Oryzias latipes: one gene and its partners. The protein of the gene in region 2 interacts with the protein of the main gene of each other region in a biochemical or structural test. Links are inferred from orthologs where the notes say so. Each region holds a gene or a part of one and is shown on either strand. Other genes may lie near its edges. The genes, in order: adra1d, snta1, adrb1, kcna4, dgkz, mcm7 and slc6a3.

Region 1 (3,122 bases), on a different chromosome or scaffold from region 2:
AGGTGAGTGACGGCAGACTTCCACACAGGTGACCTTCGTTGGGTAAATCCTGAGACAGAGAGGCAGAACATGAGAGCAAGGCAGGACAAAGACATGGGACTTGAGCAGGCTGACCAGGCGTAGTCACCGTTAGGAGTTAACGAACTGGCGTCGATGAATGGGCTGGATCTCCTTAAGTGTAGGCAGGTTGATGAGATGAGGTGGTCACAGCTGGTGGAAGTCAGGAGCAGAGCTGAGGGGGCGGGGCTGACCGAGGCACCGTGACAACCCAAAGTCAATTCAGTCGTCATCTTTTCACTATACAGATGCCGTAATGTTTAAGCCAGATGACGTCAGTAATTAGTGATTGTTCTGAGTCAGTCTGAGTCATCATATGTGTGGCAACCACTCCTGCTAATCAGGAGTGAGCTTGTTGCAAGGCCGCCCCTACCATTTGAAAGCAGACTCAGGAGAATCTGTCACACCTTTCAAATGTGCAACGTTAGACCACAAACTTCAATGGAGGCCTCTGATTGGCCAGTTTATAATTAGAATAATTTCCACTTCAGAATAAAATATGAAAAAAAGAAATATGATTAGCAAGAACTGAGTAATGACTAAGTAATAGAATTGTTTTCGTCTGTAGAAGTCTATGGGATTTTGGCTTCTTGGAGCCAGTGGGTACCTTCTATTTGGAATGCGAGGGGGCAGGAGTCACATTGTCCAGTTCTCATATATTATCATTGGCAAAAACCCATAATTTATAACCAATACTTGCGTTTTGGTGTAAGTAAATGCGTTTGTGATACGAGCTATAATGGCACAAACAAGCATTAAAAAGTGTTTCCTCTTAGAGTGTCTGTTATTAAAAATGTCACCTGATGACCCTGACAGGTTGTTACCATGCACCTTAACAGTTTTAAAAAGTAGGTTTAATATGCTGCTTAATATTTCATTACCTCTTATTTTTACAGGCCTCAGCTCTTAAGAGTCATATTTCTGATGAACAAAATGTCCTTTTGCTTTTGTTAATAAAAATGACCAAACTTTGAAGAAAAGATTACCCAAAAAATTAATATGAGGCTGTTGAAGATTTAAAAATAAATAACTAAATCTGGCAAAATACCATAATAGGTTGCTTTGCTGGTAATGAGGTTGATGGCAGAGGACCCACTATCATCAATAATTCCAAAAATAGAAACTTTTAAAAAATTTAGATCATGGTTTCTTTATGACTTATAAAATATTTAGATTAAAAAAAAAAAGAACTTATCTGAATGAACTATCCAACATGTAAATCTAATGTATAAAGTGTCCTTACTCTGCAAAGATTTGGCTTCAGTTGATGCTAATCCTCATGTTTCCATCCCTTTCAAGGTTCCGTCTTCCCAGCACTGAAGCCCTCTGAAACTGTGTTCAAGGTGGTGTTTTGGCTGGGATACTTCAACAGCTGCATCAATCCAATGATCTACCCCTGCTCTAGCAAAGAGTTCCAGCGAGCATTCATTCGACTGCTCAAATGCCAGTGCCATCAAAAGCGGAGGGTCCTGCGCCGCTTCTATGACCAGAGGTGGCGGACAGCTGTGAAAGGAATGGCAAGGGATCAGAGGGGAGAATACACACCTGGCTATGCCGTGCATGAATCATGCAGCAGCTCTTTATTGCATAAGAAGAAAGGTTGTTCACTCGGTTTAAAGAGATGGAGCCTTTTTCCGCCTCTGCAGAACTCCTCCTTTCAGTTTAAGGAAAAAGTCAACAATCTGTCCAACAAGATCAAGGGAGGGACAGGAAAAGGAGCCACACCTGGCGGGGGCAGGAGGGACACTGTGGACACAGTTTCAATGGGAATCTGCAATTCTTGTGAGCAGGGCAGTTTTCAGTTCTATGATCTGGCAGAATGTCACGGCCTGAAAGAGACCGACATTTAGAGTTCTCCCTGCAGAGAGTTATTTATTTTCAAAGTGGCCATTCTTAAACAATGTGCAAATAAGACTGTGAGCAGGCACACATTCTGAGAGTTTCACAAAATTATCTAAAATTCTTCACTATGACTTTTCTTAAAATGAAATATTTTGTGAAAGCCAGGTTGTGGAGATCACAACAGTAGCAAACCTATCAGACTGGTTGTTGTGATTTTAAGGCACCATGTGTCTGTGTCATAAAATCAGTGTTTGGATTAGGTACAAAAGAAAAACACAATGAAAAACTAGAAAGAATGCACAAAAAATTCAATTTTATTTCCTTTTGTTTGAATAAAACTGTCTTTTTGGTTTCAAAGGTTAGTGTGTTGACCCTATGTGATGTGGAAAATGATTTGCTTTATATTTTTTTTTTATTTAAAGACAGTAAAGCATTTTATTGACAAGACTGCTGAGTGCAATTTCTATTGTTTGTATCAAATGTGATATCAAACGTGAAATTTCACACTGGACTCAATTTGATCATGTGCATTCTTTAACATTTTGAGAAGGTTTTGTGAGCAAAAAAGGTTATCGAAGAATGAAAATTCTTAACTTGATTTATTTTGTAGGATTCATGGGGAACAATGAAGTAAAACTTGTAAATCCAAATAAGCTCTAATGTGAAATACATGTACTTTTTTGATGCTATGATTATGAATAATAAAAGCTAAATAAAAAAAAGGTAAAGAAGTCCAATTAAATCAGGATTTTTGTTCAGACAAAATACACCAAAGCACCCTGTTTAAAACATAAATCTGCCCTATCCTGAAGATAGGGCATGCACAATTCTTCCCATTGGTTCCTCCTTACCATTAAATCCAACCAATACATTTTTTTATTTTAAAATAGAGTAAATTCAAGACCTGAATGTGTCAGAGATTTTCTAACAAAACCTCAATACTGTGGGAATTGTACAACCAACTCTTTTTAGCTGAAGCTGCAAGAACAGAAAGGGCATTATCAATCAATCTTAATCGCTTCCTGTTATTAGGTTGATCCTAGCAAGAGTACTCTGATCTTTTTCTGTCCAGAGGGGGAGGAGTCAGGCTCTTACTTTGCAGTCACTTGAAATTTTTTACTGAAACCAAGACTAACATATAAAAAAACAGGTTAAATTGATAAGGGAAGTAAAACAGAATAAATACCAAGCAACAATGGACATGTTATTTGATATTAGGGCAG
Region 2 (4,001 bases):
CGTTTAGCACTTTGTCATTTTTTATCCTAAGGTGTTCACACTGGATAAGCAGGGAGGGGCTACTTCTTTTTTTCTAAAATTTATTAGCGCATGTTCACCACCTACATTTGGAGGAGGTTTGGTGAGAAATGTCAAGGTGGTGGAAATCTCATGAATCTTGCTCCAGGCTTTTTCTTTCAAAGCTCAGTGTCATATGATTTTGGCCAATCACAAACCGCAATTGATAATTTCTCCTCCACGATAAATTTTCAAACGGTTGGCACTTCCGTGAACTAAAAGTGACGCCATCTATATATCACTAACAAATCAGGGTAGATGACTGATCAAAGTTTCACCTGGTTTAACTTGCAATGCACGTTCAAAAATCCTGGGTTTTGTAGTTAGAACTTAAAAACAGGTGTAAAAATGTGCACAGCTATGCGTGAATGTGAGTTTTGAATATTGACTTTTCATTGAACGTGGCTGCTTGAACGTGTGTTGCTGAGGGTGGTGTAAACGGTGCAAGACGTAAAGCTGAAAGGGATTTTAAACTAAAGCCAAATTACTCTAGTGTTGATAGAATTTTTGTACTTTCTTTCTTAAATTTTATTCTACAATCTATCAAAAAGAGTGATGTCACACCCATGGCTTGTTTGTTTTTTAGTTTCTATTGCAGGTAGGCCTTGGACGAACCAAAGCAGTCTATATACTTTTCTTTTGTGACTGCTTTGGAACCGATCAGAGAGCTCACTTACAGTTTACACAAGAGTTCTAAAAGCCAAACACTGCCAAGACCCATAGTCGTATCAGCTCATCAGAGAAAAGTCGGAAGAGTTCCCTTTCTGATGAATATTCCAGTGAACGCTCAACAAGTCTGCTTTTATTTGGTCCGTTAAGCCCACACTCATAATGGACATGTTCAAACAGGGGGCTCTTTGTGGATTTCATGCCCAAAAATGAGCTCCGGTGCGAGAGTCGATGGTGGTCTTTTTAGAGGATATGCAGACTTTCTTTCCCTTTTGACAGAACATCTGTATGAGTGCAGAGCTGAGGACATTGGGACTTAGATCACTGATCTAAGGCAGGGCTGTGCAAGAAATACATGTCTAACCGAATGAATGAGGGAGGGGGAACCTAATTATGTGGGACTCAGCCCCACACAGATCATGATTAATGGAGAGATTCAACAAGCTCTTTGAACTTTGAGTGTGTGTCAAACACCGTCGCTAATCGTATCAACCTCGATTAACTTGACTTCTTCCAACTGGATAGGGCTCTTCGGGGGACAGAGTCGAGGCTGTGTCCCTGAGTGTGTATCTGTGCATGCCCCCATACCCCCAGCCCTCCTCCACCCCCTCTCACAGGGCTGCCAGCCCGTCTAGAGTTATTCCAGGAATGCGTTGAACATGGCTGCCGCGATGAAGACGCAGAAAACGGGACTGCTGGAACTTCGAGTGACAGTGGACCGCTGGGTCCGGGTGCTGGCCACGCTGACCGAGGACGCGCTCACTCTGAACCCCGGCGACAGCGCCGACGAGCCCGCGAAGCCCGGCCACCAGAGTCCCGCAGGTGCTGTCAACGGAGACCCCCCAAACCTGAGCTCGTCCCCGGTCCCAGAAACCATCACCAACGTCAAGCGCACCGTGCGGGTCACCAAGCAAGATGTGGGCGGACTGGGCATCAGTATCAAAGGTAAGCCCGGCGTCCGGACCGGAGGGGGTCCAAAACCAGAAGGACTACCGACTTCTGCGCAGTCGGTAGCAAGTTTTCCAGTTTGAGCGTGGCGGCTTTCAACGACGACGTGACACGGCGGATAAGTTAGCTAACTTCTAACTTAACTCACGAAAAACTGTCATGAATGTAGCTTTACAAACACAGACTTGTCTTTAAAATAGGAAAGTATGAGTGAGGGCTCAATATTTAGCATAAATAATGATGACAGATGAGGTTTTTATCGGGCGAAGCCTCACCTTAAAGCGAACCTATTCAGCGCCGAAAAGTCACCGGATGTGTGTTCTCAGTTCAGTTTTTAGACAAAATAAAAGAAAGAACTGTTAGTAAAAGAATTGTTTTACTGACCTATTTTTTTAAAGTGCTCATTTAATAATTAAATTAATGAGCAAAAATGTTTTTTTTTTCATCTATTAAAATGTTTCTAATTAATAATAAACTTTCATTTTCATAACAGTTTTTGAACATTTGATTGTATTTATACGGCAAAAAGTAGTCTGAGGAGTAAAGCATAAATACATAATTGTATTTTTTATATGTTCACTTGGATAATAGCTTCCACATTTAGACTCCTCTGATAGGACCTCAAAGAGACATTGAGGACGTTTTTGAATATCCACTGTCATGTTGTTTATTGTGTTGTAGTTGTCAGAAATACACCTTTAATCAAAAGAAATCTAAGTGTTTGGATCATTGACTGTATATGAGAACTGGACTGAGTTGCCCCTCCCCTGTTGTTCCAAACACGAAGTATCCGCTGGTCCCAAAAAACCCAAAATCCCACACGCTATGTCTGATTTCCCACCCTAATTCCTAACTACTAAAAAACTATAAACTGCAGCACTATGTAGTGCCCTGGATTTTAAAAGCAATTCAGACACCATGCTCACTACGATTTTTTTAAGGCGAATATGACGTCATCGATTTCACAAATTTAAAATCTAATTAAAATGAGCATTTTGCGATGATCATCTATGAGTCCACTGTCTTGTGAAGATGAAAACGTTGATATTTTTTTTAAGAAAATAAATGTAAATACATTTTTTGACAAAAAAATTTCAAATGCAATGCATTGTGGTCTATATTCGCCAATCTAGTGAGCATGGATGCACACTGGTTTTTCGCAGACTTCTGGGAAATTTCTAGGGCACTCGATTTTTGAATTGTAGATTCGAAAAGCACTACAAAATGGCAAACGCACTATATAGTGTGTAGTGAAAGAATTCGGACACAGCGACAGACTTCTATTAAAAAATAAACAACTATTAGTCAGTCAGTATAGTATGTGGTGCCAGCAGGCACTACTAATTTGTAGTGAGGCATCTGATTGATCATTTTTTTTACTTGAACAACTTCCTATTAAGAAAAACATATATAATAAAATAGTAGAACTAACAAAAACATATTAAAAATGTATCAGAGCAAGTATGGTTACTCTGACAATATAGCAACAGACTGGTTTTGTTTTTTCATTAAAAGTCTATAGTATTTGGCGTCTTGGAGCCGGCGGGTACTTCTTGTTTGGAACGTGAGGGGAGATGGGTCACTCAGTCCAGTTTTGATACAGTTCATGATCCATATTTTGCAAGCTAGACTGATCCAGTTTGTTGTATAGCATAGTTGAGGAAAGCAACTAACCCAAGAACCCACGGCTTCTTGATCTGGATCAGATTTCCTCCATTTGTAGGAAAACATGGAGGATCTAGAGAGCTATATCAACAAAAAAATGATGGATTTAGGTGCAGGTGAATAGATATTTTGTCTTAATTGTCTTGAGAATGTTGAAATAGCTTTTTAACTCTTACTTTATGGGTTCATCAGACACATCAGATTTTCTCGAAAGAAATAGGCAAATTTACAAGGTTAATTTGATTTTAAGATCACTTGTGGAGTTTTACCTGAAGTGCCTATTTAAGGTTCCTCTTACTCATGTGAAGGTGGGGATTTCTTACTGACGGGCAGTGTGTAGAAGACTACAAGAGTAGAAGGTTTGAAAGGAATTTGTTTTGTATTTTTAAGATGCAGCCTCCAAACAGGTTGGTGTTAACAAGTAATCATTTGACAGCTGCCCGACTCGATGGGCTGATTTGACAGATAATTGTAAACTTACCCTCTTGTCAAGCTGCCAAGTGTATTCATCAGTGTAGCTGCTTGTGGCAAGTTCCCTTTGGTCCCCCTCCTCTTCAGTTAACAACAGAACAAAGCCAGGCCCTAATGACATAAAAGCAATGTCCTTCTGTTAGGAAATGGAGGGTTTTTAAAATAGGGCAGCATGCTATTAAAACGAAATT
Region 3 (4,055 bases), on a different chromosome or scaffold from region 2:
GAAGAAATAATAGGCTTCTGGTTCGGATAGTTTTAAAGATTTTGTCATAAAAGATCGAAATGGTGGTTGTTCATTTACAATCAGCGTGCAATAAATATAATAAAAAGTATTGTTGTTAACGTCAACTGTTTTTGACCATAAATAGCTGGAGAACCATTTCTATCATGTTTTTTATGTATTTATTTTCAGCTGATAAAACAAAACCTAAACAGCATAAACAGAAATTTAACAATGATTGACAATATTTAAAGTTTGTAAAAAGGGATTTGGATGAACATTAAAAGTCCCCTTTTTTTTCAGTTGGAAGGTTGTGAGTTCAAATCCAGGCCGAGTCATACCAAAGACTCTAAAAGTTTTTTTTGATTCTTTTTATTTATTACATTTTAATAAATAATTAATAATTAAAATAAATAATAATTTGATCTGAATTCAGTCTCTAAAGTTTATATTTATACAAACTGTATTTTTTGCATATTACAAAAGGTTGAGACTGAAAACAAACAGAGAAGGTTTTCAGGAAGAAAGTAAATATCAATGAATCTTATTTATTCCTTTATTTCTATTGCGTATATCACCCTTTTACAATTGTTTTAAAAACTTTTTTATATTTTCAATTTTTAATGTCTTTCTTGCAATTATTCCACATGTGAACTGGGGTTTTTTAGTCTTAAATAAAATGATATAGCTCTGTTTATGAATGTCATCTGTCAAACCTGACTAAATTAACCAACAAGCTTTCAACGTAAGACTATTTGTCTTAAGAGGACTGAGGACAGAGGACTGTGGACAGAGGACTGTGAACAGAGTCCTGCGTTTGCCGCTTCTCTTTGGACCAAAATAGGAAAATTCTAAAATGGTCCTCAGAAATATATTTTGGTGTTTATTATTGGAGCTGAATGAAGAATTTGAGAGTTTATGATTCCCAACCAACCATTCACTTGAGGTGAAACTAATCCAAAAGAACAAGGAAAGCCTCTAATTGGCCCCTGAGCTTAAGGGGTCTAACCCATGACTCCTGAATGTGGATTTAGATTGAAAGTACTTTTCCAGCAATGAGGTCACTTTAAATATGATAAAAATAAGCTTTCCCAGGTTTATTTTCTCAAAAACAACCAGTCTGTCTATCTTAGGGTCACTTGAGGGATGTTAAGACTGCTTCATGGTTGATGTCATGTTTCAGCTTCAGACGAGGGGTCACAGAGGTCATGAGGAGTGGTCCAGAAATAAATCCAGCTTCTTCTTTGGTGTTTAAACTTTAAACGCTTGCCGTTCAGTCAGTTCCCATCTGGAGCTCTTCATGTTCATTTGAACCACTCAGCCCGTGGACAAGGAGAAGAGAGGTTGTCGACAAGGAATCTGGGAATTCTGACTGCCAGTCAAACCCAGCGTAGCTTTATGGCTTCTGATAAGGTGGGAGTCGATCTCAAGGGAAGCATTTCTGGAGGTAAAAATATAAATGTGGAACAACAAATCTGGTTTGCCATGGAGGGTGATGAAAGCGGGAAAATCCCTCTGGATTTTCACTTTTGGCCTGGTGTTCCCACAGTGCTGGAATTTTTTTTTTCAGGAAACAGGGACAGTTTGTGTTAGTAAGTAACAAACATAAAGTGGTGCGTTTTAGGGTGTTTTATTTTCAGAAATATGATACAAAAAAGAGGCCGAAGTTGATGTTGCCTCCTCTGATCCACTGGGACCTTTGTTCCACTGGACTGCCTGATTGGTCGCACTGATTGATGATGTCACCCGTGTTTCAGTCCCCGCTGGGGGGGCATCAAGCGCAGAAGAAGAAAGCAGCTCCAGATGGAGTTTGCGCGCGCTGGGATTGGAGCTGCGTCTCTGTCGAGCGCAGCAGAAGGAAACGGCTGCTGCGCGCTGCCTGAATGAACTCACCCTGCTGTCAAACGCAGCGCAGCAACGCGCCATGGGGGACGGCGGCGCGTCCTCTCCAGTGACCCCCCACAACGGCACTGGAACCGAGGCGTCCAACGGGCAGGGCACCGTTCCAGCCGCGTCCGAGCAGTGGACAGCAGGCATGAGTCTGGTGATGGCTTTGATTGTGCTGTCCATTGTTTTTGGGAATATCCTGGTGATCTTGGCCATAGCCAGGACGCAGAGGCTGCAGACCCTCACCAATGTGTTCATCGTATCGCTGGCCAGTGCAGATCTCATCATGGGCTTACTTGTTGTGCCGTTTGGCGCTGTGCTCGAGGTGCGCGGCTTGTGGCTTTACGGCTCTTTTTTCTGTGAGATCTGGACCTCTGTGGATGTCCTCTGCGTCACCGCCAGCATAGAGACCCTGTGCGTAATCGCCATAGACAGGTACGTGGCCATCACTTCACCTTTCCGCTACCAAAGCTTGTTAACCAAAAGTCGGGCCAAAGCGGTGGTGTGTGTGGTGTGGGCCATCTCTGCGCTGGTCTCCTTCCTCCCCATCCTGATGCACTGGTCCCGCGACAGCATGGACACGGACTGCTACGAAAACCCCCAATGCTGCGACTTTGTCACCAACAGGGCATATGCCATCTCCTCCTCCGTTATCTCCTTCTACATTCCTCTCGTGGTGATGATTTTTGTTTACGCACGCGTGTACAGAGAAGCGAAAAAGCAGCTCAAAAAGATCGACAAGTGTGAGGGCAGGTTTCACAACACCCTGACAGGGCTGACCTCCAAGTGCAAGAAGAGACCTTCAAAGATCTTGGCGCTCAGGGAGCAAAAGGCGCTGAAAACTCTGGGAATCATCATGGGGACGTTCACTCTGTGCTGGCTGCCCTTCTTCATAGTCAACGTTGTGCGCGTATTTTGCGCAGAGCTTGTGGACAAGAACGTCTTCGTGTTCCTGAACTGGCTGGGTTACGTGAACTCTGCCTTTAACCCAATTATTTACTGCCGGAGTCCGGACTTCAGGAAGGCTTTTAAGAGGCTGCTGTGCTGCCCGAGGCAAGCCGATCGCAGGCTGCACATCAGCTCCTGCGACCTGACGCGCTGCTCCGGCGGGTTCGTGTCAGCGCTGGAGCCTGGCACGCTGGAGATGTGGTCCGACTGCGCCGTGTTGGACAGCAGCGACAGCATCCTGGTGGGGACGAAGCTGCCGCGATCTGAATCCCAGCTGTGAGGTGGATTAATGCACTCTTATGGGAAACTCAAAAACAAAACAGAAATAACTTGATGATCCTTCTTTCTCAAAAGCTGTGCGTAAAAGTCATCCTCCAAATTAGCTAGAATTTTTTTATTGCAATTTCCCATCTGAATCAATTCACAATGCCGACGGATAACGATTTATTTTATATAAATCTGCACTTTGACTAATTAAAACGCAAATCTTCCTTTCATGGAGGAAGAACGAACACCTAAGCAGAAAATGTTTCATCATAAATCCGTGGGATAACTTTCTTCTCTCCTCTCTGGAGAAGGGGAGAAAAAAAAATATTGCTCCACCTTAACGAAGTACAACAGTTCATCTGTAAATGGCGGCTGATGCGCACTTTTCATGAGCAAAAACCTTTTGTCCAAGTGTTCAATTCCTCTTACAATGTGTTTTACCTCACAGCAAAGACAAGTGCAATTTGTATGACATGTTGTTGTTTATATTAAACATGATGTAAAATAGCTCTGCATTTACTCTGTCTTTTTCAGCTGGGAAATGAAGGACAGGTGATTGTATATAATGAAGTGTTAAGCACTAAAGGGAGGAAACTGGGCCTCTCTGACTGTCTGTCTCTCTTATTTTAAATGCTGTTATGAGGTGGTGCTTCTGTGAAAATAAAAGATGGTTTCATTCTTAAATGTTGGAGCTTTTATTTCCTTCCAGGGAGCAATGACACTAAACTTCTCCACATATTTTTGAATATTTTCCTTTTTCATCAGCTACAAAGTAAGAATAGAAGAGGTATTTTATTTGAAATGTATATGGCATCAGGTGATGCTTTCAATGCGTGGATTAGGACTGCTGGATCAGGGTCAATCAATTAGCAAACAGCTTTTTCTTCTTTTCCTTTCGGCTTTTCCCTACAGGGATTCCCACAGCCAATCAGCTTTCTCCATCTAACCCTGTCTTC
Region 4 (3,929 bases), on a different chromosome or scaffold from region 2:
AGTTGGTTTATCTGGTGAACCCAGACATGGCGACAAGCCTGGCCACGAATGTGTTATTTTTTCAAATAAAGACAAACCAATACTACTCTCCGGACAAGAGGGGGATCTACTTCCAATGCAAGGACGCTAACAAGAACCGAACCGTTTAGTACCCAAATCGCAAGATTTGCTCCGCTTTGACATTTTGCGCCAAGCCTCTTCCAACTGTAGGTGGCGAACATGCAAAAGTAGCTAGCAAACAGTAAAAAAAAAAAAAAAAAAAAAAAAGAGGAAGAAGCCCCTCCCTGCTTGCCCAGTGTGATACCATAGGCTAAACGCATAATGAATGTCAGGGATGTTTGTAGCTTTGGTGAGCTGGAAACGGAAATTTTGAAGAGTTTTAAATTTTCTGAGTGAAAAAATAACATAAAACTGTTAAGACATGAAAAAGAAACAAGCTTAGTGCATAATTTAGAACTCAAAAATTATTTTTGTTCAATCTTCAGAAGGTAAAGTGACAAAATTTGAATTGAGGCTTGCTTAGGAAAAAGTGAAATGTGGGTTTTTAATGGCTTATTTTGTAAGAAAAATAGTTGAGGAGTTCCAAAACACACATGTGAGAGTTAAAACACAATACTGTGATTACTGCATTGCTTACATATATGAAGTTTTCATTATACCTTGGCCCAGCTTTGCACACTTGCACCTTTCACTTACATTGCTGTCAAAAAAGGACTTTTTTCATTCCCAGATAGTGATTATGTTTTTCAAATACGTCTTCAATGTCCTCATTCTAATCAAAGTTGTATGATTAGTACGGAACAGATCCAGTATCGCTTCATGCCAAATAACTTTTGGTCGAAACGATGAACGAATGTCATCATCCAATCAGCAATGTCCCATAGTCCCTACCTTTTCCAGGTTCATATTCTGTTTTTTTTTTTAAACATTTAATTTTGATTTTTGGAAATTACTTTTGTTTTCCAAAATATTTCACTTTTATTTTGTTTCCTTTTTTTTTCTTATTTTGTTTGGTTTGTGGAAATTCTTTTGGATTTCTAAAATGTAATGTTTTTTTTCTTATTTGTTTTCCTTTTTAAATTGTGGTTGGGATCTTTAATTTATTTTTGCATTGAATGATTTGTTGGTGTAATTTCCACTTCAGGGCCACCATAAAGGCAATGGACTCATATTTCTTCCAAAGATTCAGCGAGACATACAATGAGGGCCAGATGCTTGCGGTGGAAAGCTTTAAAATGCTCTTGGTACATCACACAGTCTGAAAAAACATCAGGAGTGGCACAAAGTCGCCCTGGTTTCTACTGTTTTCTCTTTCAAAAATCTTTGAAATGCGCCCAACTGCATTTAACCTCTGAACTGCATGTTTGCAGCTCTACAAAACAGGTAATGCTGCCTATTTGGAGAAGACATTCTCCCAACTGTAGGAGAACCTCAGATGTCATTCTGGATCCAGAACCATGGTGGTCCATAAAATCTCCACTAGACTCTCCGTCCATTCATCGCTTAATCCAAACCTTCAGAAATGACGATGCTTGGCCAGTAATTTTCCTGTTTCACATAATTGGTTTTACCTGTTGACTCTGTCTGCGTCTATTTCATGATTTACTCTCCAATATGTTCAATCTCATAATATGATAATTAATTTCACTCCCATACCAGATGGTGTTCTTTTTTCCCCTAATTGAACCTCAGAGGAAAGCAGACAAAGGGAGCCTTAATGGTTTTTGATGTTTCCTCATGAAGGAAACTAATAAACATACACTTAAGGATTAATGAAGGTGTAAATTTCAGAAGGAAAACTTGATATTGGCGGGCTTTAAAAATATCAAACCTGATATTTGCATCTACTTTAAAGTTCCCGTCATTTCATTTCAATTCTGCATCAAAAAGAATAGATTCCTCCCGCCGCTTCCTCTGAGCCAACATGGTAAACAGTAAAGGTACAATTCTAATTTCGTGAGGAAGCATGCGCTCTGGTCTAATCACGTGGTTTTGTGAATGAAAAGACAGCGCTGCCATAGTTATTTTCGGGGAGAGAAGCGATGGTAAAGCGGGAGAGGGGCCTCAGCATTGAGACTGCAGCACGGCGCGCAGTGACGCGCTGCATCCACTGGGGGAGGACCGAGCACCGCCTGCGCGCGCTGCGACGCAGGAACCACTTTCTCACCGAGATTCTCCATCATCACTCATACAATGGGAGGGATACAGGAGCATAGGTAGGGATACAGAGGCAGACAGACAGAGGCGTGATGCTCACACTTAGCCGTGGGGACATTTACCCCCTCATCAATGCCTTGCTAAACTTTCCCCCACCCTTGGTTCTTTTTGACCGGGATTGCGCGGAGCAGTCAGTAATGCCAACTCCCTAATCGCACACCTTATTCTACTCCTCCCTCCTATTTCCCCCCCTAAAAGCCGAATGTTGCCTCTATACAGTGAGCGATGCTGCAGGAACGGGGGCCGAAGTGCCAATAGATCCTGTTGAATTGAGACAAGACGTCGAGACGCAGCCAAAAAAAAAGTGTCATCTCCAGAGTGCGTCAGAGCACGGATGTATATACTGGATGTGGATTTTGGTCGCTGGTTGGACACGACGAAGGATTTGGGTATTTTAACGTCCAGAAATTCTAACAGGAATTTGAGGAAACATGTGCATCCTCGCCTCCTATTTCTTCTCCTCCTCCTCCAGCGGATTTGTTTTGGGTGTTGAGGCGGTTTGATTTGGCACCTTTTCAAATGTAAGTATGGATGAAAGGACACTTGTATGTGGAAACCCTGTGCGTAATGTTCGTTTTGACGTTTTTCTATTCGATATTAGCAGTCTAATGATATTATTAATGAAGTTTTATAATCTGCATGATGTATGTAGTTTTCTTGCTATAATATTTACACCTCCCTCTTCCTTATTCTTGCAGGATCTGCTGTAAACATGAGGAATAAAAGTAATTCTGCTTAACCGGGAGTCTACAATACGGCAGACAATATTTTTTGTACCATTTTTTCTTTTGCTTTTCCTCTTATTTTTGGATCCCAGCACATGAGAATGGCATCATCGGGTGACCACGGCAGAGCCAAGGACGCATTTAGGCGCCGATCTCTGGGAAAATAACCACCTGATGGGCTCCGGAGAAGCCGCGGACAGACTGCTTTGGTGTAGCTTGTTGACTCGGTGATTTATAATGCTGTGCATATAGAGGAGGGGGGGCTGCAACTTTTGTCAGAGCGTCTGCGTAACAGGCTATTCCACCGGCCTCTGGATTTTTTTTTTTGTGATGCTAATGATGTCATGCAATCCTAGAGTGTTTGTACCAACATGAGAAGATGGGGCTTCATAACCCCCATTATGTGAGTAGCTTCACTGAACCTGAAGCAGACAGATGTTTCTTGACCTGACCATCTGATTGATCAGAACGGTTCATGCCTTATTCACCCTCCCTGCGCGCGCCGGGCTCCAACTTTTCTCCTCTGCTGTGCGTCCACATCACCTTGAGGCGTTTTATATAGCGCTCAGACAGACTTAAAATGGAGTTTGCTATGGTGGGCGCGGATGGCGGGTGCAACAGTCACCTGCCGTACGGATATGCCCAAGCACGGGCGCGTGAGAGGGAGCGCGAGAGGGAGCGTCAGGCTGCTCAGTCCAGAGCGGCGGCTGCTGCGGCGGCGACCGACGGGGGCCCTGCTGCGGAGGGAGGAGGAGGAGGCGGCCATGGAGGGGGGTCCATCTCCACCACCACCTCCTCGAGCGCTCATCTCCTTAACAACCGCCAGCATCAGTCTCGCGCCGCCTCCTCCTCAACGAGCGCCAACATCAGCAGCGGCGCCGCCTCGCGCCCCTCCTCCTCCTCCTGGCACCAGCAGGATCCCGAGCAGCAGCAGCAGAGAGTTCTCAGAGAGCGGAAAAAGCAGCGCGGCGTCGGACGGTGGAGACG
Region 5 (4,163 bases), on a different chromosome or scaffold from region 2:
TGGTTGTATAGTTTTTGACGCGGCGCGTCAAACCAAAAAAACAAACCCGAGGCGTTTTTTTAAAAAATAACGCTTTTACGCGTGGCGTTTTTCGCGTCGGTGTGCACACTCACATTGGTGCCCCTTGTTTAGTCATGAGGCGTTAAACGTCGGTCCCGGTGTGTACAGGCCTTTAAAATGTGAAAAACTATATAACATACATTAAAGATGAAATTTCTCATAAAATATTGATTGTAGCATGAATATGCTGACAAGTCTTCATTACCAACTCATATAAATGTAGACATTTATTCATTTTTGAGAGATTGATTTTCACAGAATGATGTTTTCACGGAAGTTGCACTTTGTTGACGGTCCCTTGGCAGGCGCCTTGCTGCATGTCTGCATTTACAGCTGGAAAAGACCATTTCTAATAAAAGTGCAGAAAAGAAACAATCTTTTCTTCAGAAATGCATTTGTAGTTCTCTCTCTGTGTTAATACAAAATGATTGAGATACTTGCTGTCACATTTGATCGTTTATCAGAAGATTGAAGCAGGAAGTCCCAATCTGTGAAGATCTTTCTGACTTTACCAAGTTCTCTGAGTCCTGCACTCTGATTGGTTGACTCCCTCCTCCCCCCCTTGTTCCAATATCGGACACAGATCAGTTTTGACACAAGTATCTTGCAAGGAATGTATCAAAAGTCAGGGTGCAGTTGTAACGCACAAGTGATTTGCGCCCATGGATTGGAGCACATTTGAGCAGTTGTAATCACAGATTTGAGACTGTAACTCTAAATGAATACATGCAAATGGGAATTTGTCGGTTCTGATATTGTTTGTCAGACTTTACAGCACAAGATTTTTACACACAGATGCAGATGATTGGTGCACACGTTTTCACAGTTCTCACATCAAACCTACAAGCTCGTCCATTAAGACACATTTTTACCTTCATAATTTTTCTATTGACAACCCCATCTGTGTTGTTTCTATTATCTGCCTTCTGTTATCTTTTCTGCGTTGATTTAACTTGTCTTTTTACTTCGAGACCATCAACCTGTACTGTAGGAACTAAAAATGGAAATTAGACTAAAAGGCTATAATCTTATATATTTCCTCTTTTTAATTAGGATGATTTAGTTTTTAGCCTAAATCAAAAAAGCCTGTGTGGTTTTCTAGGACATTGTTTCTGCAGAGCAGCAGTGGTTCTTTCGAAATTCCCCTCTTAATTGTGGGCGGGACTGTTTGTGTGGAAGTAAGCCTCAGCTGATATCTCAACATCCCATTGTTAACACTCTGCACTGCTAGCTTACAGCCCCTCACAAATAAAAACCAACATTCCCAGTGAAACAAAAATGACGAGCAATCTTGGAGCTATCCAGCTGTACAGCTTTGAGCCAGATACCAGCTCAGATCAGGAAAATGAAGATGTTATGCATCTATTTGTCTGCAAGTGGATGCATCAGGGCAGTGTGACTTCTTAACCTGTTGTTTCGTTTCAAAAGAGAGCTTCTTTCATCTGCACCTAAATTCACAACGATTTGAACAAAGAAATACTCACAAGTGCAGTTTTAATCCTAAATTCTTTCATAGATGTCATCCAACATGTTAAAATCACCCAAAACATGATTTTCATTGATGTGCGTCTTTCAACTAAGATTATTTTGCTGTTGAAAAACTTTTCTGTTTATTTTTATAGCAAGAACAAAAAAAAAAAATTCTTGAAAAAAAAGCTCCTTTTACTTTTTTTTTACACTACGTTGTTAAGCAAAAGACAGTAGAATGGGCTTTAATCTTCTTCTTATAACAATATATTAAAATCTAAATAAATCTAAATATAAAAAGGACAAAACTTAATTAGTTTAAAAAAATTAACCAAAACTGCAAAGCCAATCTTTTTTATCATTATTAGCCATTTCCTTTAAAGCTAAGGAGCCACAAAAGAAGGGATGAAGCCACAAATTGCTGAGGAAAACTGTTTTTAGATCACCCAAAATAAAGGGACGTAATTTCATAAATAAAAAAATAGAACAGAGTCACACGGCCTGCCCATTAAGTTTTCTTTTTTACCTTGCTAAGTAAATAAAGATGTATTTGAAATGACTGGAAAAGTAATGGGTTTTTTTTTTCAGTTTACTCTCCAGCACTGTCAATAATTACAGGTGGACGTAACTGGTTAAAGTTTGACTCAACAGTTTATTTTTTCATTTTGCTCCAAGTTAATTTTTTCTTCTTTTAACCCTGTGTGTCTGGATGGGCTACCAGGCTGTCGAATCACTCAAACAGCATGAAGACATCTCGTCATCTCCAGCAGTGACCTGTGGCCACAGACGGCCAGAAATCATGCTGAAACGAAAACTGCCTCTCTGGAACAGATGTTCACCATACTCATGGAGAAAAGGGATTTTCTAGTAAGATTTTAATTAAAATAATCTGTTTTAGTCCATTATTTATCCAATATAAGGGATTATTTCCTAAAGTTTGGAGACTAAATGCAAACAGATGCTGGGATTTTTTTCTCTCTGTATCGCTTAGAATGCAGAGAAATAGTTAGTAAATTTGAAGTCAGGTTGACAAGAAGCAAAACCGAAATGCAAAGTTCAAAGCAGCAAAACACTACAGGAGTCAGACTAATCTGAGCTAATCTGCCTCACTCATCCAGAGACAGATCCAGGAACAAGGACTGAGAAGGTCCAGCAGGTCCAACACAACACAAAGCGAGGAAGCAGCAGAATACAACCTGAGGAGGCTGAGGAGAGCAGCTCCAGCAGAGATGAAGAGCAGAAACACACTGAGGCACTAAGTCTCCCACAGAAAACACACACTCACTAAGCTGCCGTCAAAAATAACCTCTCAGCAGAAAAACTGCTCTGAGTTCAGCTGCACGCCGCTGACCCCTGCTGGCCACCCGGCCCAGCTGACCCAGGATCAGCTCATCAGCAGGCAGCTTCAGGCTTTGTGATCACGCACTTCAGCACAGCGGCAGACATGAATGGAGCCGCCGGCCGCCCTTCATTATCACTTCAAGGCCCATGGCTGCTGCATTATGGATCCAATTAGAAAGAAAAATGACAGGAAGCAAAGCTGCATGTTAAACTGACACTGAGCTCTGACTCACCAACACTCACCAACAGACTCTGAAGGACTCACAGCCTGAGCACACGACCACAGGACTCACCAATCAGAGCCGCAGCCTGGAGCCTCATCTGGAGATCTCCAAAGAGCAACTGATGTGGAGCCGAAGCAGCTTCAGATCAATCACACATCCAGAGGAGAAAGCAGCTCTAAAACAGCTTAAGCTCCAGAGAAGATCCTGGTTAACTGAACCTCCAAAACCCAGAGAAAAATCAATGCTTATTACATATTTGTTACCGATACTGTTAACTGAAATTGTGAATGAATGGTTTCCGAAGATAATCAATCATTTTGTTACTTGAAAAGAATCTATCGGATCAGAACCGGATTACAAAAATTAAAACTAAAAAATGAATTAACTCAGTAGGGGTGGGATTATATAAATTCGCTTCTTCCCACTTCTTTTCAAGCAATAAATCAAACTCTACTTGACTTTAGTTACTGATCACTGTATTTAATTAAGCAAAATGTAATTTCAGTGACTTTTTTGTTTTGTTTTATTTTCTGTCTTATTAAACTATGCATTTCAACATTTCTGTAATGAGTTTGATGAATATGTGTAAATTCTTTATTGCTTTGACTACATTGCTTGAAATAAATCAATAAATCAAAACGGAAAAACAGAACCCAGGCTGATGTAGAAACAGCAGAAAATCCTACAAACAAGAAGCCCAGAAACTTCTGAATGCTCATTTATAAAACTCAACTTTCAAAATGTAAAACTGAACATTTTTAGCTATCACGAAATTTAAACCGTTAAAAACAAACAATCCAAATGTCTCAGAACTGTACAGGAGGAGCCATGCATGGAGTTGGGATGAAACAAGGAACTGAAATAGACAAGCCGACTGTGACAAACACCAGCAGGTCTGGTTCTGTTATCACGAGTCCTGTGTTCGGGTCAGATGAACAGTCTTCAAACCAGAAAACACCTGAAAACACCTAAAGACCTGAGTGCTGCAGCAGCAGCATTGAGATCCACCAACATCCCACATGAGGCGGTTCAGCTTCAGGAACCAGAACATGTTCTAGAACAAACTCATCT
Region 6 (2,235 bases), on a different chromosome or scaffold from region 2:
GATGAGGAAGGAGGCCAGAGTCAGCAAAGACACCACCTTCACCTCTGCTCGTACCCTCCTCTCCATCCTCCGCCTCTCCACCGCCCTGGTGAGGACATGAAAAACCTGTGACACGTCTGCTTGGCAGGAGCTCCATCGGACCTCTGAGTTCGCTCCCTTCAAAGTCTTTGGAGGTTTATGCTTTCATTAGCTGCCCAGCATGAGATAAAGTGCTTACAGTGCAGGTAGTGATCAGAACAGTCTACTGCAGTGTGAGCACTTCTCTCCCACGCTGGTCCAAAGCGCCTCCGTTTCTCTGTTACCTCTCTGACAGTCGTCTGTGGTTCTGCCTCTGGTTACCAAAAGTGCTGTTTGTGCAGGTAGAAGTCACCAGCTACTGCAAAACCAGCACTTCAGGTAAACTGATGGACCGTCCACAGGGGGGCGCTGCAGGGTCTCGATGAGGAGAACGAGCGTTTGAGACTTCTGTCAAGGATCTTCTGGTCCTGGCCAGCTTTGCAGGGTGGGCAGTCAGCCTGTGCATGCCTGGAGCAGCTGTGCAAACCCATGCAAAACTGACTATGGCCAGCACTGCCATCTATGCCTTCTACATGAAGTCTACATGGTTTTATTTTTAATGTCCATGTGCTTGTTTGACCTGTGGAGAGATTAGCTGGTGTTGAGAGGCGGAGACTTGGGCAATTGCCGGGCATCCCAGAGGGCATTGCACTTGTCTCGGTCTGACAGTGCCGGCACAGCGCAGCCTCCGTCGACGCGGTCCGGTCAGATTAAGGAGTGCCGGCCCCTCAGAACCCCCGTCTGAACCCCGCCCGCACTTTCTCTGCTCGTTTGCAGGCCCGGCTTCGCATGATGGACACGGTGGAGAAGGAAGATGTCAACGAGGCCATGAGACTCATGGAGATGTCAAAGGATTCGCTGCAAGCAGACAAGTCCAGCGCGACGAGGTTGGTATCAAACATTACAGAGCAGAGGGTATGGTACAACCACTCCAGTAGCCGGATCCCTTTAGGGTTTTCTTTTTTAAATAGGAGTGTCTGTGTGACCTGCAGGAAGCTGTAAAACCTCCAGGTTTTTACAGCTTTGTGTTCGGTTTCCTGTTCACTTGAGCAGGCGCTGATGTCATGTTCACACTTCAGCCCAGATCTCACACTGGTGTGGTTTTCTTTAGCGACATTTCTGACCCTTTTCTTGTGCTGTATTGCTATGCTGGTGGGCATTCTGACAGTGATGCATGCTGGGAATGCTACCAAGGCTGTTCTGACTGTGTCCTCTCCCCTTTCAGGGCCCACCGTCCAGCTGACGTCATCTTCTCTCTGGTGCGGGAGCTGGCCACGGAGAGCGCGGCGGGTCGCGGCGGTTCTGGCGGCGTGGTCCGCATGGCTGAAGCGGAGCAGCGCTGCGTCTCCCGGGGCTTCACGCCCGCTCAGTTCCAGGAGGCTCTGGAGGAGTACGAGGAGCTGAACGTGTGGCAGATCAACCAGGCGCGCAGCCGCATCACCTTCGTCTGAGCGGTCCCTTCCATCTTCAGAGCGAGGACTCCCTCTGAATGTGGTCATAATCCATATGTGTCGCCGCTTTTATGGTCCTGTGAACGGCCACAGTGCTTGTAAATATGTACGTCAGAAGTTAGTATTTGTTTATTCAGGTCACAGCTCCTTGCATCAGTTGATGCAGAGCTTCTCTGTACATTTATAATTGCAAATGTTAGAAAACTATAATAAACCTTTCAAATCTGTGTGATGGTTGTTTCTCTCCAGTGTTTGTTTTAGGTTACAAAACTCAGAAATGGTAGCCTTTATTTTCTTTTTTGTATTAGTTTTCTCTGTAAAACGGGGAGAAACTGAACTGCAGGCAAATCTGGAGCTCAAGCAACAAAGATTTGCTTTAGACAGTGGAATTATGGGAAAAGTAAACAATGCATAAACAAGGCTTCAGGACAGACGGGGCTGTCAGTGTCTGTGATGGACCAATCTAAGTGAGCCAAAGGAAAATGCTCAGAAGTACGATTCTATTGAATAGATTTATTTATACACTCTCAAAACTGGGCCCCAAAGAGAGGTAAACGGAGAACATCAATGGAGGCGATTAACCAAACACTAACCTACTGAACAGACAGGTTGGTGCTCTTGCATGGTCCTGGTTCAGTTCTCAGCTGGGATCTCTGTGGAGGGGATTTTTCTCTCTGGTCTCATCTTTTGAAGTGGAACAACTTCCACAATTGGTGGCTGACTAAAA
Region 7 (3,500 bases), on a different chromosome or scaffold from region 2:
TGTTCTGTGCTTCAGTTCAGTCTGGTGCTATTAGATCAAAGTGTGCTGCAGCTAGAAGGTCTATTTCTTCCAATAGTTTGGGCTTCTTCATTCTTTGCCCCAAAACTCCGTGAGGTTAATGTTTCGGTGCTATTGATGTGGTCCTGATAAAGGGAACAAATGTAACAAATTTTGACTTCTACCACTCCGACATCTGTGCTCACTCAGCAGTGGTGAGGCTACAACAAAAAGAAAATTGCGACGAAGGATCAGGCAGTCCAGTACGAGCTACTAGCCGAATAATATCAACTGTGACGGATTTTGCGAAGTGATAAAAAATTTAAAAGGCAGGAGGGAAGAGTTTTTACAGATTAATGGCACCTCAACATTCTAAAACATGGGAGAAAAAGTATTACCCTTAACTTATAAACACTTACAGGGTATAAAAAAAATCAAAGTAAAGGTCTTTGAGAACAACTGACCGGAACTTTAATCAGGAGTTTTCTTTTTTTTTTTTTTTTTTTTTTTTTTTAAGAAATGTATGTTCTCGTGTCATCTGAGCTTGACGGTAGAGAGGTGGATAAGGGCCCAAATACTAAGAAGGCCGTAGGCGAAGGAGTCGGCATATTGCCCCACTTTGGTGGGTCCTGACCTTGGCAAGGCAGATAAATCAAACCCAGGTCCTGGAGGGAGTGTCTGTAGGCCTTTTATTTCAATCTTCATAACTACCGGTAAATACCCTTTGACCCCATGACTGCTGTGGTCTTTCACTCTGCTAAAGCTCATTTAGCTGTGTTGAATACTTGGTCGTCAGTAAAGATATATTCCCCTGCAATGACAGATGCCGTTGATTCAGGTAACCACAAAAACGAAAAAAAAAGATACTTGGATGGGAAAAAGCTTGATGGTATAGACTTTCAACTTTGTAATGATCCAATTTTATTTTTCATATTTTCATCCTAAAATATTCAGCTTTTGGAAAAATGCACCAAAATATGGATATATTCTTTTTTAATATTTGCATAAGACAATATTTGCTTTAACTGAGTGCCTAAGTTTATATTTTATTTCTGCTTGAGGTGTTGATCGTTTTAGCGACGACATCAAGGAGATGATTGGGCATCGACCAGGCAGGTACTGGAGGCTTTGCTGGAAGTTTGTCAGCCCATGCTTCCTTCTGGTGAGTCATACTATCCACAAACAAGGGAAGACAATAAAGAAAAACATAAGTGGATAGGGTAGAAATGTGAATGTTGTGTTAATATATTTAATTCATATTTTCCATCATGACAGTGGCAATTTGTCAGTAGTGCATTTCCCACAAAGTCTATGGAAGTTAGAAAGTCACTACTGTGAAAGTGATTTTCAATTTAAGTATGAATGTAGTTCTGAACATGATTCCACAGTTTGCTTTTGTCTTATTACCTGTAAATGGGTAATGCCCGCAAATTCACCAGTAATATTTAGCAAATTTTGTCCATTTTCCACACAAACTCAAAGCTACTAATTACCTGACATCGGTACAAAAATAAATAGTAATTTGTAATAATTGTGACCTTTTACACACCCCGTATTTTCAACAGGTAAAAAACGTTTACTTATTTTCATAGAGAAAATGATAAAAAAGATCCCCTAGGTTGATTCTTGTTTTTATTTTTCCCATTTTGAATTAGTGTGGGTCACAGAGACACAGAAGTAGCGGCAGAATGAGGCTTTTGCGGCAGCACAGAATGCGTACCGTGATGTGAATGAACCTAGACATGGAGACGGGATTACCAATGCTTTTGTAGAGCTTTTTAAAATAAATAAATCCGATCTCTAAACATCCTCTGTGTCTTCCATGCAATGCAGTGAGATAAACACAGACAGAAACGTGAAGGTTTTGGCTGTAAATCCAAGTATTGCTCACATCCGTGTTTAAGAATGACTTATCACGTGAATTATTATTTTGTGGGAACAAATTCATTATTTTTTTACCCATGTCAGGTCGCAGGCTCAACTTGTGGCTCTTTTATCTCTCATTAGCTGCATTTCCATTGACTATGAAATAAAATTGCCTAAGGAAAACACAACAATTTCGGAAAACCTTTTGTTCTTGAAGGGAGTGGGTTTTTTTAGGCATATTGAAATTGACACATTTTGCAAAACTGCAATGGAAACATGAATTGGTAAATGGCGTACACTTGTATAGCGCTTTTCTACCTAAAAGGCCCAAGGCGCTTTACAGTCACAGACCCATTCACCCAGTCACACACACATTCACACACTCTGCTGCCGAACACTGGCGCCAACCTCTCACCAGAGGCAGGGTGGGGTTCAGTGTCTTGCCCAAGGACACTTCAACACATGGGTGTGCAAGTCTGGAAGCGAACCTGCAATTTTACGATCATAGGTCGACCGCCCTACCGCTGCACTACGGCCGGCCCACAATTAAATGAAATGAGTCTTGTGACCAACAACCGGATGGCAATGCGCTTCTTGGTAGAAACTGCACAGCGGGCGCCACATAGGTCACAGAGCTCATCAAAAGTTGAGCTTGTCATGAGGAATTGTTGGATCCACAGCTCATCTGTAACATCACCAACCACATTTTCCCCAACTCGCTTCATCTGTAGCCGTCTCCAAGTGTACTTGCCACTGCAGATGATCCCAACATCTCCTTTGGTAGATGATGAGCGCTAGTAGTGTGGCAGGAAATTGAATCTGCTGTAAATCAAAGTATTGTTCACATCCGTCGCCATGTTTTTGAATGACATATGGTGTGAGTTGGTTTATTCGCACTCATGATTTAATTGAAACGGTGTAATTGCTAAATTGTGTTTTTTTCGACATTTCTAGTGGCTCTTTGGCTTTGCGGGAAATGCAAACAATTAGAAAAAATAATTGGTTTATGGATACAGTTTGCCATTCATGCTTTGATTTTTAAAATGTCAGATAAAAATTATGGTGAAATGTTTGGTCTACTGTCAGAGATGTTTATTGTGAGAATAAGCTTAAAGCACACATGTTTTCATGACATTTTTTCTCTAGTTTATGGTTGTTGTGAGCTTTGCCACGTTCAACCCTCCAAACTACGGCTCCTACATGTTCCCGCCGTGGGCTAACATGCTGGGGTGGTGTCTGGCAATGTCCTCCATGACTATGGTTCCTCTCTATGCCATTTACAAACTCTGCACACTGCCTGGAAAGTTTTGCCACGTAAGTTTGAAAGATGTATTCCTAAAAACATGAAGGTAAAGTGGGCTATTGAGCTTTCTTCATTGGTCGGTTTTTGCTCAAAGAGGGGCTTTAACTGCCTTTTCTTTAACAGAGGTTAGCTTATGCCATCACCCCTGAAACAGAGCATCATCTAGTGGACAACGGGGAAGTTCGGCAGTTCACTGTAAGTGTTCCCTTGTTCCTCGTATCACAATACACTCTAAATATCACATCACTGCAAGGGATTATTTGAAGAATGTTGTTCCCCTGTTGAAGAGCCACTCCGATGAAAATAGTTTTGGGTGTCCTTAACATGTTCTTGT

The links.
Region 1: the proteins of snta1 (region 2) and adra1d interact in a test that uses a peptide from one of them, tested with the Homo sapiens proteins (2 studies listed by BioGRID and IntAct). The link is inferred for Oryzias latipes from reciprocal best matches to the Homo sapiens genes SNTA1 and ADRA1D.
Region 3: the proteins of snta1 (region 2) and adrb1 interact in a test that uses a peptide from one of them, tested with the Homo sapiens proteins (2 studies listed by BioGRID and IntAct). The link is inferred for Oryzias latipes from reciprocal best matches to the Homo sapiens genes SNTA1 and ADRB1.
Region 4: the proteins of snta1 (region 2) and kcna4 interact in a test that uses a peptide from one of them, tested with the Homo sapiens proteins (2 studies listed by BioGRID and IntAct). The link is inferred for Oryzias latipes from reciprocal best matches to the Homo sapiens genes SNTA1 and KCNA4.
Region 5: the proteins of snta1 (region 2) and dgkz form a complex in vitro, tested with the Homo sapiens proteins (2 studies listed by BioGRID and IntAct, with this or other methods). The link is inferred for Oryzias latipes from reciprocal best matches to the Homo sapiens genes SNTA1 and DGKZ.
Region 6: the proteins of snta1 (region 2) and mcm7 interact in a test that uses a peptide from one of them, tested with the Homo sapiens proteins (2 studies listed by BioGRID and IntAct). The link is inferred for Oryzias latipes from reciprocal best matches to the Homo sapiens genes SNTA1 and MCM7.
Region 7: the proteins of snta1 (region 2) and slc6a3 interact in a test that uses a peptide from one of them, tested with the Homo sapiens proteins (2 studies listed by BioGRID and IntAct). The link is inferred for Oryzias latipes from reciprocal best matches to the Homo sapiens genes SNTA1 and SLC6A3.

The regions. Positions count from the first base shown.
Region 1 is NC_019859.2:14,271,719-14,274,840, reverse strand, and holds the end of adra1d (alpha-1D adrenergic receptor), read left to right. Parts: intron 1-1,356; coding exon 1,357-1,907; 3' UTR 1,908-2,622; downstream 2,623-3,122. UniProt on the Homo sapiens protein: This alpha-adrenergic receptor mediates its effect through the influx of extracellular calcium.
Region 2 is NC_019863.2:11,975,285-11,979,285, reverse strand, and holds the start of snta1 (alpha-1-syntrophin), read left to right. Parts: upstream 1-1,201; 5' UTR 1,202-1,385; coding exon 1,386-1,671; intron 1,672-1,949; exon of another isoform or gene 1,950-1,988; intron 1,989-4,001. UniProt on the Homo sapiens protein: Adapter protein that binds to and probably organizes the subcellular localization of a variety of membrane proteins. May link various receptors to the actin cytoskeleton and the extracellular matrix via the dystrophin glycoprotein complex.
Region 3 is NC_019877.2:5,429,051-5,433,105, forward strand, and holds adrb1 (beta-1 adrenergic receptor), read left to right. Parts: upstream 1-1,255; 5' UTR 1,256-1,921; coding exon 1,922-3,112; 3' UTR 3,113-3,783; downstream 3,784-4,055. UniProt on the Homo sapiens protein: Beta-adrenergic receptors mediate the catecholamine-induced activation of adenylate cyclase through the action of G proteins. This receptor binds epinephrine and norepinephrine with approximately equal affinity.
Region 4 is NC_019861.2:9,901,504-9,905,432, forward strand, and holds the start of kcna4 (potassium voltage-gated channel subfamily A member 4), read left to right. Parts: upstream 1-1,129; 5' UTR 1,130-2,738; intron 2,739-2,915; 5' UTR 2,916-3,522; coding exon 3,523-3,929. UniProt on the Homo sapiens protein: Voltage-gated potassium channel that mediates transmembrane potassium transport in excitable membranes. Forms tetrameric potassium-selective channels through which potassium ions pass in accordance with their electrochemical gradient.
Region 5 is NC_019864.2:26,852,474-26,856,636, forward strand, and holds the start of dgkz (diacylglycerol kinase zeta), read right to left. Parts: upstream 2,801-4,163; 5' UTR 2,724-2,800; intron 1-2,723. UniProt on the Homo sapiens protein: Diacylglycerol kinase that converts diacylglycerol/DAG into phosphatidic acid/phosphatidate/PA and regulates the respective levels of these two bioactive lipids.
Region 6 is NC_019868.2:6,634,083-6,636,317, forward strand, and holds the end of mcm7 (DNA replication licensing factor MCM7), read left to right. Parts: coding exon 1-88; intron 89-179; exon of another isoform or gene 180-286; intron 287-477; exon of another isoform or gene 478-570; intron 571-834; coding exon 835-944; intron 945-1,282; coding exon 1,283-1,508; 3' UTR 1,509-1,735; downstream 1,736-2,235. UniProt on the Homo sapiens protein: Acts as a component of the MCM2-7 complex (MCM complex) which is the replicative helicase essential for 'once per cell cycle' DNA replication initiation and elongation in eukaryotic cells.
Region 7 is NC_019874.2:11,899,132-11,902,631, reverse strand, and holds part of slc6a3 (sodium-dependent dopamine transporter), read left to right. Parts: intron 1-1,058; coding exon 1,059-1,159; intron 1,160-3,009; coding exon 3,010-3,177; intron 3,178-3,289; coding exon 3,290-3,361; intron 3,362-3,500. UniProt on the Homo sapiens protein: Mediates sodium- and chloride-dependent transport of dopamine. Also mediates sodium- and chloride-dependent transport of norepinephrine (also known as noradrenaline). Regulator of light-dependent retinal hyaloid vessel regression, downstream of OPN5 signaling.